4 linked regions of the Drosophila melanogaster genome follow. The protein of the gene in region 1 interacts with the protein of each later gene in a pairwise test. Each region holds a gene or a part of one and is shown in the gene's direction. Other genes may lie near its edges. The genes, in order: Pif1A, Xrcc2, Vdup1 and Nup62.

Region 1 (5,063 bases):
AACTGTTCGGCACCGCCACGCAGAATAAGGGTGCTCGTCTTGGCATTGGGGCAGCCTATTTAAAATGGAAAATAACAAGTGGTTGTTAAAACGAGTCCTTCAATTAAGTATACGAATAAGATTCTTACCTTGGAAGAGGTTGAAACGTTCGCCGCCCACTTGGCGCTCCTCGAAATGTTCGCACAGGCCGAGTACATTGGGCTTAATGTCGTTGGCCGTCGTCATTACGGCTCCACCGCAAGCCTTCATGGTGCGCTTAAGATCTTCTTCGGGAACGCGGCCGGCGCAGAATATGTCGCGGTCGGCGAAATACTGTGTGGCCACATCACCGATGGGCAGCTTGGAGAGGACAACATTGGCGCCGGACTCGTGGATCTTAGCCAGCTTGTTGTAGAGGATCTGCCACTCGGCGTCGACCACCTTTTGGTACTCCTTGACGTTGTCTACGCGGATCTCGGCGTTATCGCGCTCAGCCTTAAGCTCCAATTCGATGTTGAGCAGGGCAATTTTGCAGTTGTCATAGGATTTGGGGGCCATTTCAAAGCCGGCATAGGAAAAGGTCTTCTTGAAGGCCACACCCGACACTAGCTGTGACTCCTCCAGCGAGCCACCGGTCACCTTCTTAATTCCAATCATGTTGAGGGGCAGCAGCTCATCCAGGGAGAGCACAGCATCGACTACAATGCGGGAGAAGAAGTCCTTCTGCTGGTGAATCAACTTGGAGGACATGGCAGTGGCTGCGCACTTCTCAAGGAGAGCACGCTGCTGGTCCTTGGACTGTTCGACAATTTGGACGGCCATTTCGTTGATCTTTTCCATGCAGAGCTGCAGGGCCTTGCGGATGGCCTTAATGATGACTCGTGGGTGCACTCCCTCCTCCACGAAGGGTTTCACCTGCTTAAGGAACTCGCCGGCCAGCAGAACCACGGACGTGGTGCCGTCACCCACCTGAAGGAGAAGTCGAATCAAAGCTTTAGCAGTGTCACGTGCGTCTCAGGGGTGCCAATCACTTACCTCGGCGTCTTGTGACTTGGCAATGTCCACCAGGGTCTTGGCCGCCGGGTGGATGATCTCCAGCAGCTTCATGATGGTGGCTCCATCGTTGGAAATCGTCGCCTTGCCGTGGGCATCCACAATCAGCTTGTCCATGCCGCGGGGACCCAGAGTGGTCCGCACTGCGTCCACGATCGACTGGCAGGCATTGATGTTGGACACCAGTTGCGGCTTGCCCTGCGACGAGTCAGTGCCTTCTTTGAGGAGCACGATTTGCGGTTGCTGCGGATCATACGGATATAAGGCGAATATATAGTAAAAGTCTCCAATTAGTCAGCAGATGTCGTCGGCTTGCGAGAAGCTTCTTTGCAGGTTATGTTTACAATCTCATGCCGCTCGCGGACGAGTCCATGATTGGGATTCACTTGGTTAGCCTCGGATTATTTCCAGCCGGACTTACCATATTTATGTGATGGGGTTGGCCTTTAGCACGTATTACAGTTTAAAACAATAAAGTTCCTAGCAGACAGGCGGCAACTTGCTTTTCGTTCACGTTTTCCGCGATGAGTAATGGGCCAATCGATTAATCGTTGTTATTTTGTATTTAATCGATGCTTGCAGCCAGTGTGAACGTTTGGGGACTTAGTCGCACTTTACAATGAAATTTGAAATCCTAACTCATAAAAAACTATCTATTTATTTCTATCTTGCGATTTTTTAACTTTATGGTACAAAGCTAGTTTCCACACTTTTTGATGAACATTTTAAACTAATATGATATGCAGCTGGTAGTTGTTATCGAAAAAGTTATCGATGGCTCCATGACGTCACTCTTGACCGGCGAGCGGTTTTTTGAAATTGCTCCCAACTTCAAATATAGATTTGTGATTCCTTCTATTTATATAAATTTGGCGATGCACGCACGCATGTCGCTTATTCCATTTTAGAAAGTGCGCCGCATCTTCAGTTTGTTCCTACCGCTCAACTTGAGTGAGTTGTGCACCGAGCAGCAATTAAATGAAAAATAGAAGAGTCATTTGAAAGGCCAAAACGCCAGAACATTCAACCGCAAATAGGTTTAAATGAAAGAAAGCATTCTAAATCTAATTCGGTCATGTGGAATTGGAATTTTAGTTGCCCAAGACTCCTCTTAACGACGACATCGAACCACAAGGGATGCCAATGGATACTAACCGGATACTAGACAATTGCCGAGTGATTATGAAACAAATCAGGATGCTGAACCGACTATGAAAAATGCAAATAGTGAGTAAGAAAAAGAAAAGTGAAGTGGGGCTCCCACACGATAAGGCACTCAAATCAAAGTGCAAAGTTTGTTCCCCTTTTGTGCTTTTATTTAGATTTCCCCTGTGTTGACTGACTGGAATCGGAATGTGTTCTAATTGTGTCCATCATTCATCGCGTCGTTAAGGCGATTGTCAAATTTGTATGTGATTTGTGAAGATTCTTCAGCTGTTGGGGATTATAGACATAAAGATATTCATACGCAATACGTTTGGCATTTAAATCGAAATTAAAAGTATGAAATTTTAATTGCCATAAAAAGACTATAAAAAAGTTGAGCAACTTAAATGTTTTGCAAGTATGTTTATTACCAAATTTATTTACTTCTGGTCTAAACATATAATAATAGATGCACGTTTCAACAGCTTTAATGTCACGTCTTCAGATTGCTCTTAAACTTAAACTAGCACAAATGCTTTGTGCTGATATATGTTTGAGCAACGCGCCTTAATCATGCGGAAGTACTTATAACAATGTTTACACAGATATAACAATTTAACTGAATTTTATCATTACTTTATCAAACTTATACCGAATTAATATCCAATCAACCTGAAGTTCCGATATCTTTTATTTCACTGTTTGTTATTTTGACCAATTTCGTGGCGGGTTGTGTGCATATTTTGGTTATTAATAAACACGCGACTGGTTTTTTTTTGTTATGAAGTCGGGAACCGGGAGGAAAACATCTTCGGCTTTCAATAGATGGGCTCTTCCGGCTTCACGTCGGCCATTCTTCGGGGCACGCACACAGACCCGAGCTTTGCCACCCCATAACCCCAAGAAGTGCATGAATAAATGGCAAAGCTCCTTTTAATTAAATGGAAATGGAGGCAAATGTGAAAGAGCTTGCGAAAGCTCGAGAGGCCGAGTTAGTCAATCGGTGTCCGGCCGAAACGAAAGATCTCTGCTATCGCCGAGCAACGAAATTTACCTAGTATAGAACACTTCTTTTAATTTACAATTCAAATTGATTGCAACTAATTAGGATACTCCCCAAACGAACCGAACATAACTCACTTCTATTCCGACGAACTTGTGTAACTTAATTGATATAATTTCGAACTTCCTGTACGAACTGTGTGAATATATTTGAACAAAAATATATCATACTTTGCTTAACAATTGTCGAAGAAGTGCTCCACATACCGACGATATTCTACTTGGTCTGTGCGCGAAAAAAGTTGATTGAAAATTAACGTATTGACGTCATTACACTGCAAGAAACAGTGGCAAGCAGGCAGTAAATAAACTGTTTACATTACAACATCGTCGGTCGACTTAGTGAGTGAGTGAGTGAGTGAATAAACATATACAGAAGTTTGAGGCACACCAACTGTTGGTCTACGACGCCCAAGGATTTCAGAGCTAATGGTGCGTATACGTGATCTTCGGTGAATCAGCCGAAAGAGCCGCAGACTGTACACTCGACGGCTGACCGACTCATCGTTTGGCAATATTTTCAAATTGATATATGACTGAAAATATACATACTTAAAGAGCAAAAAAGAGACTTTCATCTGCCCATGTGGATGGCTGTGGATGTGGATGGCAATCGAGTGGGTGGCTTTGCTCGTATAAAACCAATCCCAACCAAGCCGGTCACACCGAGGCTGTGATGTCACCATGGCGTGTATGTCGACCCCAAAAACACTTTATTATCGAGTGGACTGGGGGCGGTTTTAAATTTAATTAAATGAAATGCAACATGAGAGCCATCATTAGCCCCAGTCCTTCAGTTTATAGAAAAGCCACAAAATAAATATTACATACATTTGGAACGAACACCTCTTTTAGGGTAGTTTTTCCACTAACAGTTCGGTTTTGAAATACGTCCAAGAGTCAATATCATAAAGTTTACTAATAATTACTTATAATTTATGTTGATAACCAGAAAGTAATAAACTTGGGCACCACTCACTTAAGATCCCTCCCTATTAACACCTAGTGTATCGAGCTGGAAAAACAAATCAAATTCCAATTAGGCGCCAGAAGGTTGCTAAGTACACAAATCTGTCGCTCTACATGTGTATATAGATCGTGGCCTTGATAAAGATGATCGGCCAGAAATCTCGGAGAGCATTCTATGAACATATGAACTGTGGGCCTACTCGTGTGTGCACCTCATACAGTATATATATAGATGCTTTGTTATAATCTTTGGGGCGGATGTGGGAGCAGTGCAAAGAATTCTGTTTCTGTAGAACAAAAAAAGTAATGAAAAGCGGTTTTATTGCGTGTAAAGCGCCCCAGTGGGGAACCTCACAAAACAAAAAAAACACATGTACATATGAATGTACGTACATATTCTGTTCTATTCCAAAAGGCGCGCCACATGACGTCATTAAGAAAAGTCATTCCGGACCAGTTTATTTGGTAAGCCCAACGCAATTGGCGTTGTAAACTATTTCCCAGTCCCAGGGTGCCTATATGTTTCGTTTTTCATTCATATGTGTGGCCCGACCCGATGTGGCGAAATGAAGGAAAAAGCTTTTCCGCTGAAATCAATAATGGGGGAAACTTGTTGATTAGTTCAACCCAGTGAAGAAAAGCGTTGAAGAGTCTACGGCTAAACAGAAGCCATTGAAATGCTGACAGACAAAGGGGAATCTTTGCGATTCTGAAGAAACAACCTCCATGCGGGCAAAGACTCGGAATTCTGTATACTGTGTAATTTTTCAAGGCATAATTTGTAATAAGTAGATAAGAGTAGGGCTTTTATTGTATATGCTTAAAGCATTATTAAAGCCACATTATTGTATACT
Region 2 (3,256 bases), on another chromosome or scaffold:
TGTATGCGCTTGCAGGAGGTGTGGGTTATAATTTCAGACTTATGCATAAAGGCGGGGTATTACAGACCAATAATATGCCATCATCTAACCATCTTATGGTCATATGGAATATTCTACGACTAGAATTAGCATTTGATACAAAAGACTAAAGACACACTAGTTTTGGTGGCTGTGCAGTAAAAATGACTTTTATGAGGTTATTTTCTCACTCTATCCGAATTTGATAGTTGGTTGGTTAGGGCCATTACAAAGCCGGTTTTGGAGAATGTATAATAGAATGCGATAAATATTTGAAATGGGCTCGTAAGTTAGACTGGGAATAGACTGTACGATATGGGTTGGAAAAGGTTATCCTTTAACCTCCAACCATACTTTACTCACGCTAAACGTGGTAATAAAGACTTCTTTGAATACTATGTAGCATACATGGCAAGTAATTAATTGGTTAAAACGAGCAAAAGCCGGTTTTAAGTGATATAAAGCAAAGATTACTGAATTCTTTAGCTGGGTTTGCAGTAAGCAAACAACTCGGTCTTTTCAACAATGATATGGTAACTACTCTGTATCCTTAGTTCTGATGATAGTCCTCCATAATAAAATTGTATAATACGTGAGTGAGGAATCTTAATGGCAAGGCTCACGTTATGGGTGACACAATCCTATTCTTTATCCTGGTCAAGGGCTGATATTGCTATCCTCGATCCTGTAGCCACTTACCATCGACCAGCTTGGGCACCTCCCTGGGCCTGCCCTCCAATCGCTGGTGGGCGAACTTGGGTCCGCCGAAGCGCGTGTGATACGCCTCCTGGACGCGCTTGTGGTGATCGCTCCAGTTGGCCAGCAGATACAGCAGCGGCAGCAGTACCAGCAGGCACAATGCCAGCCGGCAGATCCGACCGCTGCGGATGGTGCTCACGCGCATCTCTCCCTAATTCCGATTCCGATGCCCAGTTCCAGATTCCAGTTACAAAGTTCCAAATCTGTTGACGTGTCTAGGTGGCCAGAAAGAAAAAGCACGGCGCGGGAGACGGGAAGCGGTAAGCGGGGAGCGCGGAAAGGTGGCCACAAAGCAGAAAGAGAACAAAAGAACCACTTTTGGTTCGGATTCGAGATGCCGCTGAATGATCAAAGGCGCCCCGCCGATAATGACAATTACAAGTGCTGGGGCGAGAAGCTAACTGGAGTACACCAGCTCGTCCGCCTGAGTGATGCTTTAACTCGGTGCGGAGCAACTTGCCGGCGAAAAAGCGCCGCTGGCTTTGAGCAAATTGCGAGTGCAGGTGCACGAATATTCGCGGTGCAAACGTAAACAAAAAATGGTAGAAAACGATGTTCAACTGGTAAGAACGCGTTATGCCGTTTTTTCTATCATCGCCCAGGCGTTAGGGCTAAATTAGGCACCAGCAGCGATAGGCGGCTGGGCGATAACACAGGGTGGTGAAAATGGATTTTTTTTATGTATGTGCGCAAATAAGTCTAAATGCTAACTGAAAGTTATAACGAAACGCTTGCTGCTGTTGTTTAACTATTCGATATGCCCTAGTTCCATTTAGTGTTAAATATGTTTCAGCGCTGCGCAATTCAACTTTAGGTGGCTGTCATCGATAAAGGCCACAATCGATAACTCCTTTGTTTATGCCAGGGCGCAAATTTGTAAATTTAACCTAATGGGCTCACATCAACTCCACTTTGCCGTTTTTGGCTCCTGCGGCTTTGAAGCCGATACGCTGGTGGAGATCTCCGGCCCAGGGAACAGTGGCAAAAGCCTGGTGCTCCAACAGTTGGTGGCCCACTGCCTGGTGCCCTACAAATTCGGTGGTCGCCAGTGGAGCGTCCTGCTGATCAATCTGAGTCACAAGATCAACCGTGAATCTCTGGCCAAGAGCATTAGGATGGAGCTGAAGGCGTACTCTGTCGGCGAAGTGATTGCTGCGAAATGCCCCACGGAGGAGCAGCTGGCCGAGATTGCGGGCGAGTGCATGAGTCGCGTGCGATTCCTCAACTGTTTTGCAAACGATGATGTTTCCACGTCGCTAATCGACGCCCGCTACGCGATCATCAATGATCCTGGCATACAATTGGTTGCCATGGACACACTCAGCGAATTCTACTGGCTAGATGAGCCTAAGATTGCCAAGAGAATGTCCATGTATCGCCACTATCGATTGCTCCAGGCGCGCCTGGAGAAGCTCTGCAAGGATGCCATCGTCTGCGGCATGTACACGGTGGAGTCTGCCTTTCTGGAGAATCGTTTTGGCGAAAACTTGCCCGAGGCTGGCATAAAGTACCATGTCAGGATGCAGAAGATTCAAAACCAGATCCTCTTGAATGGACTGCCGCTGTCGTTTAGCAATGGAATTCATTTGGATACAAATACTAGCAAGGAAATTACTGAGGCATTGCTGACTCAGCCCAGTTAACATAGTTAAATTATTATTATTAATCTTAGGACAAAATGATGCTAGGAACTGAAAGAAGTAAACGATTGTATATAGAGTATATAGAGTTGATTAAATTGTATATAGAGTTGATAGGTTAAGAAAATTGTATATAGTTTAACAATTTAACTTTAATAATATCTTCCTTTTAGGGATTAGAAATTATATTTGTTATTACTCCTTTATTAGACAATTTCAAGGCCTATGAGTGAGAAAGTAATCTGTGCAACTAATTAAGTTAAAAAAAAGGTATAACTTCTACATTATCTAGATAGTTACGAACTCAAATATACTTTAATTTCCGTGATATCTTCCTAGTTTTACCCGCTCGAACAAAGAAAATTATAGTCCATATAGATCTAGAAGGAAAGTTCGCTTTTATGACTTATTCCATTCAGTAATATATTTAATATTATATATCAGTAATATTATCTTAATTAAAAAAAATACAACAGTTCTTTAAAATTGTGTTGAAACCTTCACTATGTTCTTTTTTTGTTTTTGAAGAAGGCCAACCCTACCAGAATTATACTTAAAACTAATGATTTCTAAAAGCTATACATAAGTAAGGTGGTTTTGTTTAGCAGTTTTTTTTTTCGTTTTCGTTTTCCTTTTTTATCGTTTTCTTAGCATTTTAAGAAGAAGCAATATGATGGTGTATGGTAATGGCAATTAAAATGGAGAGGAGGGGGGGGGGGGGGGCTTTTTAATGTTATCCGCCGATTGATTTTGGTAGTGCTTAAAAGCCGGTAAATTAGTAAAAATTATTATTAAATACAATCATTAATTTAAATGTAATTTCAATAAATAATTATCTG
Region 3 (4,856 bases), on another chromosome or scaffold:
CTCTATGGAGGCATCACAAAGGAAGGGGTTAGCCAAAAGAGAACCTTAGATATGCTAATACAGATATGGTATAAGAAGCGTGGCGAACAAACCATTTGGTGTAATTTATGCAACCTAACCGCTTGTAAGCAGAGCTGACAATTAGTTAACAGTTCTTCTTTAGAATAAGGTCCTCTCATCGGCTGCGGCCGTCAGAACGTGTCAATTTCGGTCATTAGCTAGTTATGAAAATCTGTGGTAACTTGTGTATGGCGCTTCGATTGGACCAGTGATGAACTAGAATCAGCCTTCTTCATGTAAACACTAAGTTACTCACGGAGCGCTATTATGAGTGTCTTTATTGTTACAATTTTAACTTTCTCGCGTTCCACTGGCCCGACCGAAGACAGTTTAAAGTTTTCGATGCGAACCGTGCCTTACCAGCGCGCTCGGTATCTTCGCCACAACTGAGCCACTGCCCCAAGTCGGACATAGAAGCAGCTCGATTTAAGGGAGAGCGTGCCAGAGAGGTGAAACAAGGCAAGAGCAACGAAAACAGTGGCCAATGCGCCCAGCCAGTTGGGCATGAGAAAGTTTTGCAGGTGTAGCTCTGCTACACCTCTTGTTTTTCTCTTTGAGACTTTACGGTATCGTTGGTAAGTTTATGGAGTGGACCAGCCACTCCCCCTTGGTGATTGATGTTACACCAAGATATTCTCTGCCTTCACGTCTGGCTTTCGCTATTATTATAAGAGATGGAGATAGGCTTACTATAGGTTCCTCAGCGCCGGACTTTCAGAAAAATGATAAACAGAGCTGAGATTCGGAGATCGGTTCGGTGGTGCGCGGAGCAGCTTTGAAACCACACTGACTTTAACTCAAGAATACTTAGTTGTGGGCTCCACGAAACTTCGAGCTCAAGCGATTATCATTTTGAACCAAACTAGTATAGACGTCTCTATTCGAAACAACCTAATTTTCAGATACTCTATACGTCGAGGCCACAAACGGGAAATCTTTGGAGTCTCGTTGAAATCTCTCTTCGCGGTAAAGACTTGGGTCATTATAAAACAACAACTCCCAGCAATTAAGCCGAGAAACATTGAAATGGAAAACTATAGCCTAGCCATTGCTACTAAATGTCACTAATGCCGTTGGAAGAAATATGAAAAGCTGGAAAAGTTAAATACGAAAGTGATTTGTTTTCTCTTATAGCCAGCATAGTCTTCAAAACGATTGATTTCTTCAGTCCATATATAGTTTGACCATCGTTGCATCTCTACTCTTTCTAATATTATCTTATACTTTGTCGATCATAAGGATAACCTACAGATTCCTTTTAATAAAGTTTTCAAGGTATCTGCCACAGGACTCATTTTTTGACTAATTTTCAGGGTATAGCCATAGCTTGCCACAGCTTGCCACAGGCTGCCGAGCCATTCACCGATTCGGTTTTCGCAGCCAGTGATAGTTTGCTTGGCTTTTGGCCTTTCATTTTCATGAGCTACAGTTGAGGTTCTTCGATTTGGGTACCTTAAAACAACAAATAACCGGTATTAAATGCATGCATAATGCATAAATGTGTGCCACTTTATCCATTTTAGTCTGCACACGATTTGTCGACTATGGATAAATACCTGTAAAATATGGGCTTGGTGTTGGAAATACAGATTTATTTTCTAGGTGCAACCGAGTAACACAAGATACACCTGCTGAGCTATAGCGGGGCGACTCTGCGAGCATTGCCATATTATTAGCAAATTGCTCCTATAATCGATTCAGTTTGAACAGCTTAGCTAACCGTTGAGGTGACAATTTGGTTCTCATGCTCGTTTGGTCTTCTGTTGTCTGTGGTGCCGTTCCAGTTTTTTCCGTTTGAATTTATTCAAGAAGATACGCGCTTTGCGTATCCTGTAAGCCCGCTGGAAAGGTAAATTCAGCCATGTATTACATGAATGCAAAAGATAGTAAAAACAAAAGCGGGCTACTTATTGGCATTACGACATCAGCTGGCTCCGGCTGGGCCTCTCTCAAACGATCCCTCGCAAAAACGCGCTCAAAACAAGTTTTTCAGTCGAGCTCTCGTCCGCAAACTGATGCATAACGACGACGACGATGACGACGACGGTGATCAGTTGCCAAACAAACGCTCGAGAGCGTGGACGAGATCTTGCCAAACGAATATCGCTCAAAGGCAGAACGGGTTAAATCGGTTCGGTTTGGACTGGTGTTCCGATCTGGCCAAAAAACACCTTTGTGTGTACAGGTATTTGAAAAGCGATCATTATTTCAAGTGCGCCCACAGGGATGAAGAGAAAACAATTGATCTGTTGTGGATAAAAACAAAAATGTTGAACAATTTGAATGTAATCATTCCAATGGCAGTGTACGGTTGGGAATCCGCTTTCCACTAGGAAATTACGTCAGTTTTCTTTTCGGTTTCTGTTTCCCAATCAGGAATCATCAACATTGTCACCAGTGCACCAAACAGGCTTGCCGACAGTCGCAGTTGCAGCTTACGCTTTTGGTAAAGATGTACATACTGGAGTTTTGCCCAAATTTGTAGGCGCGGGCGTGACACGCCCGACATGCTTCATGCGCCGACCTTGCAGTTGATGCTTAAGTGTTCGGGGCTTTCGTGCTGCATAGTTGTGCACGCAGCCATCTCTTGGCCGTACGAAACTGGTTTTGTTTCCTTTGCCCGCCTAGATGCTACCCACATAAATATGCAAACAAGCGCCGTATGTATGTGAGACCGTAGTCCGTAGTACATGGTCTCAGACCTAGCCAGCTATGACGGATAAGTTGTCATTAACCATAATGACGCGTGCGGAGCGGGTCAAATATTTGGCAACCGTGTTCTAACGAATTTCGTTGGTTTTTCCTTAGGCGTACGAATGAAATCGGCAACAAAACAGAGGCACGATGCCGCGCAAGTTGCTTAAATTCCTTATCATCTTCGACAACACTTCCCTCCTGTACTTCCCGGGCCAGTTTCTCTCCGGACGGGTTCTAATCGAATTGCAGGATGAGACGCCTGCTTTGGGACTTCATTTCCATGTGGTAGGCGAAGGGGTCGTGCGCAACGGGCGGCGACAGGAGCGGACATACGATAAGGAGAACTATATCGACTTTCGGATGCGACTTCTGGGGGACGTAGACCAAGGAGGTCCAGCTATACTCTCGCCAGGAATTCACAGCTTCCCCTTCAAACTCGGCTTGCCACTGGGTCTTCCATCTACATTTCTCGGTCGGTACGGCTGGATTCAGTTCTACTGCAAGGCGGCGCTCCGCGAGAACAATGGCATTATCCATAAGAACCACCAGGTCTTCATTGTGATGAATCCCATCGACCTAAACCTTGAAAAGCCCATCTTAGCAGTAAGTAGCTTTAAAAACCCTGTTTAAAAAAACTAACCTTTCGCCTGACTCAGCAACCGTTCACCTGCGAAGTTGAGCACAAGCTAGGCGTCGTCTGTGTTGGTGGAGGTCAGATAAAGTGCAGAGTGTCCCTTGATCGCGGTGGGTATGTGCCCGGCGAGAATATTCTGGTCACCGCATTTATATCCAACTACAGTAATGTGTCCATTAAACGGACTAAGGCATCCCTCACTGAGGTCGGTATCGCTTTCAAGTGGCTAGTTACAATTCATCCATTTTGATCTTATTTGGATTTTATTTAGACCATCGAGTATTTGGCGCGGGGGAAGGTGGTGCAAACGGAAAAACGGGAGCTGGCTGTTTTAGTTCGTGGCAAGATCCGTCCGGGGGCCAAAGACGAGTGGCACAACGAGCTTTACGTTCCACCCCTGCCGCCGACCAATCTTCATGGCTGCCACCTGATCAAAATATCCTACGACGTCTTCTTCGTGATCGAACCCAAGTCCATGGAGAAGGAGATTAAGCTACAGCTTCCTATCGTGCTTGCGACGTACCCCTTTCGACACTCCGGTGATGCGGTCAATGCCAACACCTGGCCGGAATCGGTGCTTAAGCCGGACACGCACACCCACTATCCGTCCACACTACCCATATTCCGGCCCTGGCTGCACGAGAAGCCTATCGAGGCATAGCCCGCAGCTTTTAGGATTGCTGTGTATCACAACTTGTTAAGACCGATTTGCGCCATACAACAATTTAAACTTATTTAACTTATACTTAACGTTTTTTAATGTTTCTGGTCTTTGCATTTGTAGGTCTTCCGTTCCCAAAAATTTGTTCATGATTGAAGAATTTATAACAAATACAAACGAAAGTTAACATAAAGACCAGACTTTGATAAATTATAATTAGCTCATATACATAACTTTTTATAAAACCTAAATATTGTAGGTTATATATTATTAAAATGGTAAAACTGCACTCATTAACCTTCTAACTACTACTAAATGGTTATAATAATAATAATAATCCCAAAAGTATGGTTGTTGAAATTGAAATAAATTGTTTAAAACGTTACAGCCTAAAGTATGCTATTAAAAAGCTGGCTTGTTCGGAATTTAAATTCGCGAAATTAAGTATTGATTCCAAAACTAAAAAGGGCCACACTGCACGTTAAGATGACAACAATTATATTAGTCCTCTTTATTTGGATAGTTTTATTCAATGACGTATCCAGCGACTGTGGCTGCCAAAAGCTCGACCGGAAGGCCCCGGATATGCCGTCCATTTCCGGACAAGTGTGCCAGCAACGAGCACAGGGTGCACACAGCCACTACCGGGATTACTATGGCGAACTGGAGCCAAATATTGCGGACATGTCACTGCTTCCGGGAGGCACGGTTTACATGGGTACTGACAAACCGCACTTTCCGGCCGACCGCGAGGCTCCGGAACGGCAGGTGAAGCTGAATGACTTCTACATCGACAAGTATGAG
Region 4 (3,937 bases), on another chromosome or scaffold:
AAGCGCTTTCTGTCCGGAACCAGCTTCTGGGTATCGTTGTCGCGATTCTTCTCCAGCCAGCAGTCATCTATGATGACGTACTCGTAGCCAGCATCCGCATATCCTTCAGAAACCAGGAGATCCGCATGTCTTTGGAAAAGTTTTTCACTGAAACAGGTGAAATGAACAAGAAGTAAAGGAACATTTGAGGATCTGAGTTGGGTTTGGGTATTAACCTGATGCACTCATCCGGATACAGTTTACAGTCGGTGATGCAACGGAATCTGTAAGTAAGACATGGGTAATCAAAAATTCAGAGAATCTTTAAATAGACTATAGTTATATCAGTAGTGTTAGTTATATCAGCAATGAAATAAACAAAAGCGTTATTGCAGCGTAGCGTGTAGAGTTCATGCCAAGGCCTAATTTTTACTAACTATTAAAGTTTATTTATTTTAAATGTTAGACGTAATGATAATTCTTTATGATCTAATCTAGTTGCTGGTAAATATTTCTTACCGCTCCCAGGACATCCAGCCCATAGGTGGCCTAAAATCGACAGAATTTCAATTAAGTGGCCTAGAATCCAATCAAAATTTAATACTCACTTTAGTGCCAGGCCATTATCGAGGCCCATGGATAATTGCAGAACCTGCAGCAGAAGAATCCCGCCCAGAAAGACGCCCCACGTTCCGTACATGGCGAGCTAGTGGCACCGACTGAATCCTGGCCTTTGGGCACCCAGGGAATTTATATTCTCCAGCGGGCGGCACTCCAGATAACTCTGTTTGGCAGGGGCACCTGAGGAGCTGGAGGTAGGGGAATGGCACCTGAAGAGCTGACAGAAGGTTAGTGGCTAATTGCTATTGCAGCGGAGTACTCCCATCGACTGATTGGTGTTCGCCGGGTGGCGCAAACAGCGGGCTTTCTCGATTGCAGGAGGAGCCGGAGCCCCTTATCACGCCAAGTTCACAGCGATCACAGGGAGCAAATAGAGAAAATCGAGGAGAGACCGAGAACAGGGGCTTTTGATTCTGATATGCTTTTGTTGTTCAATTCTGGCGCTGCTTGCCAGCTACACTGGTCAACAAAGTTGGGGAAATAGTTGGAAGCATAGTAGACTAGAGCACGGTACTAGTGATGGGAAAACATGTACTAACAAAACATAGGAACTATGGTCTTTTATTAGAAAATTTTGATCTGGTTTTTAAGAATAATTTAAAATTTCTGTTTTTGAGGATCAGATCTCAGATCTTATGAAAATCTTAAAAAGAATCTTATTACAAAAAAAAAAAAAACCGAAGGTCAAAGACAAGCTCTAATTGTTGTACCGCATTACGTTTGTACCTTAGGTAATTTTTCTAATTTTGTGGCTGGCAGCTCTGAAGAGAACCTACACAGGTACGCAGAACGAACCTTCTGATAGGAAGCACACATGTGTTTAGCTGATTTAGCAAAATGCAATTACTGAACTGAGTGCCGCTGCACTTTGGGCTTGTAATTGAATTCTTTTGACCCAAATGTTACCTTATCGCCTTTGCACTTACAGATAGCAAAAGATGACTAATTAAAGCCGGTGTTTTGTTATTGATTTTGTTTGTACGATTGACTACGTTTTCTTTCTGAGTTGGTTTTTTTATTTAAGTTGCGCGGAATGATTTGTTCCATGTACGACTAAAACTGGAGCTAAAACATAGCTCTCGACCAGTGTTGTTTGTCGATTTCGCAAGTTAGTTGATCGCTGGTTAAAAAAACGGACACAGACATAAATATATTTTAAAAGTGCAAAAAGTGATTGCAAACGTTAAAATAATATAAATGTTTTGGTTTTCAGCATGTTTTAGTAACAAAAATGTATCGTCGACTGAGCAAAGTACTTCATTTGTATTGCCAATTCAAAGAAATTTAAAATTTAATTTTGCCGCCCAATCTTCAAACTGCTAAGTGTTTTGGCTTGAAAATAGCTAGCTTGAGCTCAAATTTAGTTGATTTCCAACACCGACAACATTGCGGAACTCCAAGGAGGGGTCACACTGGTTGCTTTTGGCGTGTTTCGTTTGATTTAGATTTATATTATTCGTCTTAAGTTTAAGCATGGTATTCCAGTTGCCAACAACAACCGCCGCCCCGACCGGAGGCGCAACATCGTCGTTTTCCTTCGGCCTCAGCACAGGAACACCAGCCGCAGCACCAGCTTCAGGAGCAGCAACCACGGCTCCCGCCACAAAAACCACATTCTCTTTCGGAACACCGGCACCTACTGCTGGTATCGGTGGCGGAGATGCAGACAACAGCAAGGCGCAGGCTCCACCAGCCTTTGGATTTGGCCTGGGATCCGGGACTGCTTCAGCTCCCCTCACGCTGGGCACTCAAGCCGCCGCAAATCCAGCGTCCACCACTTCTGCGACCGCGACTGGAACCTCTGCTGCTCCTCCCGCCTTCGGAGGCTTTACGGCTCAACCAGCGGCATCTGTGGTGCCAACTATAGCAACCAGTGCACCCAACACCGCAGCTACCACAACTGGATTGCTGGGCGGGTCTGGATTGGGAGCTCCCAAGACCACGGCCGCTGCGTCCACAACTCTGACTGCAGCTCCGTCGGCCATAGCCTCCACGCAGGGAGCTGCACCGGCCCCAACTTTAAGTACTGGTGGTGCTTTTGCCAATCTCACTACCGAAACCAAGACCACAGACTCATCGGCCGTTTCCACGGCATCCCAATTGTCCTACCACCAACTTGAGGAGCATATCAACAAGTGGACTCTCGAGTTCGAGGAACAGGAAAAGGTATTCACCGAACAGGCCACTCAGATCAACGCATGGGACAAACTGCTCATCAGCAACAACGGGAAGATCGTCGAGCTCAACGATGCCGTGAAAAAAGTGAAAACCGATCAGCAAGTGCTGGACCAGGAGCTGGAGTTTATAGCCACGCAGCAAAAAGAGCTTGAGGACAGCCTGGGACCGCTTGAGAAGGAATTCGTTAATCTCCCGAGGGTGGACATGGAACGCAGCCAAACCTACCTGATGGTGGAGAATCTGGACACACAACTGAAGCAGATGTCCGAGGATCTAAAGGAGATAATAGACAACTTGAACGAGGCCAACAAGGGCCAGGACACCACTGATCCCATCATACAGATCGGAAAAATCCTTAATGCCCATATGAATTCGTTGCAGTGGATCGAATCGCAGTCGACGAACATCAGCAAGAAGCTGGAAGACATTGGCAAGATTCAAGACTCCCAGAAACGCGATATTTTCCGAGCTCCTTTCTAAAGATAAGTCCCCTTAATTTGTTAACTTAAATAAAGATGGTTCCATTGTAACCACAGAAAGAGTAATGATTTTATTTAAGAATTTATTGTAAACATCATACTGCCTTCAATTAATAACCCTTGAAGTACTTAAGCCTAAAGAGCGGCACCTGTTTGCCCTTAGTGGCAAAGGCCAGGAAGCTGCTGTGCGGCGAAAAGGCCATGGAGGTCACAAAGCCAACCTTCTCGTTCTGTGCCGGGAAATTGGAGTACACAGTGGCGCTGGGGAAATGGGCCAGCTTAAAAGCATTCGGCGCCTCACTGGAGCACATCGCCAGTAGCTCAGATGAGTGATTGAACTGGAGATCCGTGATGGCAGTCCGTAGGTTCATGAAGCGCTTCTCGGGTTGTGGGGCCTTGGATGCGAAAATGCTCTCGTAGTCGTAGATGTTGACCACGCCCTCTTGACTGCCGGTGGCCAGTAGGCGTTGGTTGGGAGACAGTTGAATGGACTCTCCATGTATACAGCCGTCGTCCATGAAGATGTGCTCGATGAGGTTCTGGCGCAGGTTCAGCACGCTGACATTGGAAGTGGAACCGCAGACGAGGATCCTCTTGGAGTCACTAGACCATGTGAATCCCTTCACTTTGCCCTCCTGCTTGAAGCTGTGCAGCAGCTCATTTGTTTTGGCCGTGAGCAG

What was found.
Region 2: the proteins of Pif1A (region 1) and Xrcc2 interact in a two-hybrid assay, tested with the Drosophila melanogaster proteins (one large-scale study listed by BioGRID).
Region 3: the proteins of Pif1A (region 1) and Vdup1 interact in a two-hybrid assay, tested with the Drosophila melanogaster proteins (one large-scale study listed by BioGRID).
Region 4: the proteins of Pif1A (region 1) and Nup62 interact in a two-hybrid assay, tested with the Drosophila melanogaster proteins (one large-scale study listed by BioGRID).

What each region holds. Positions count from the first base shown.
Region 1 is NT_033777.3:8,798,071-8,803,133, reverse strand, and holds the start of Pif1A (PFTAIRE-interacting factor 1A), read left to right. Parts: upstream 1-1,957; 5' UTR 1,958-2,259; intron 2,260-2,354; 5' UTR 2,355-2,440; intron 2,441-3,189; exon of another isoform or gene 3,190-3,672; intron 3,673-5,063. Other genes in the region: CCT7 (chaperonin containing TCP1 subunit 7), read right to left, coding at 1-55, 129-948, 1,015-1,275, 1,454-1,456.
Region 2 is NC_004354.4:18,498,515-18,501,770, forward strand, and holds Xrcc2 (X-ray repair cross complementing 2), read left to right. Parts: upstream 1-1,612; 5' UTR 1,613-1,667; coding exon 1,668-2,420; 3' UTR 2,421-2,744; downstream 2,745-3,256. Other genes in the region: Pgant7 (polypeptide N-Acetylgalactosaminyltransferase 7), read right to left, coding at 718-922.
Region 3 is NT_037436.4:175,886-180,741, reverse strand, and holds Vdup1 (vitamin D[[3]] up-regulated protein 1), read left to right. Parts: upstream 1-1,778; 5' UTR 1,779-1,909; intron 1,910-2,106; exon of another isoform or gene 2,107-2,245; intron 2,246-2,436; exon of another isoform or gene 2,437-2,868; 5' UTR 2,869-2,904; coding exon 2,905-3,360; intron 3,361-3,413; coding exon 3,414-3,596; intron 3,597-3,662; coding exon 3,663-4,052; 3' UTR 4,053-4,240; downstream 4,241-4,856. Other genes in the region: CG7049 (uncharacterized protein), read left to right, coding at 4,539-4,856.
Region 4 is NT_033778.4:16,342,508-16,346,444, forward strand, and holds Nup62 (nucleoporin 62kD), read left to right. Parts: upstream 1-1,869; 5' UTR 1,870-2,073; coding exon 2,074-3,258; 3' UTR 3,259-3,321; downstream 3,322-3,937. Other genes in the region: CG7997 (uncharacterized protein), read right to left, coding at 1-147, 216-263, 499-528, 588-679; wcd (wicked), read right to left, coding at 3,368-3,937. UniProt on the Drosophila melanogaster protein: Essential component of the nuclear pore complex. The N-terminal is probably involved in nucleocytoplasmic transport.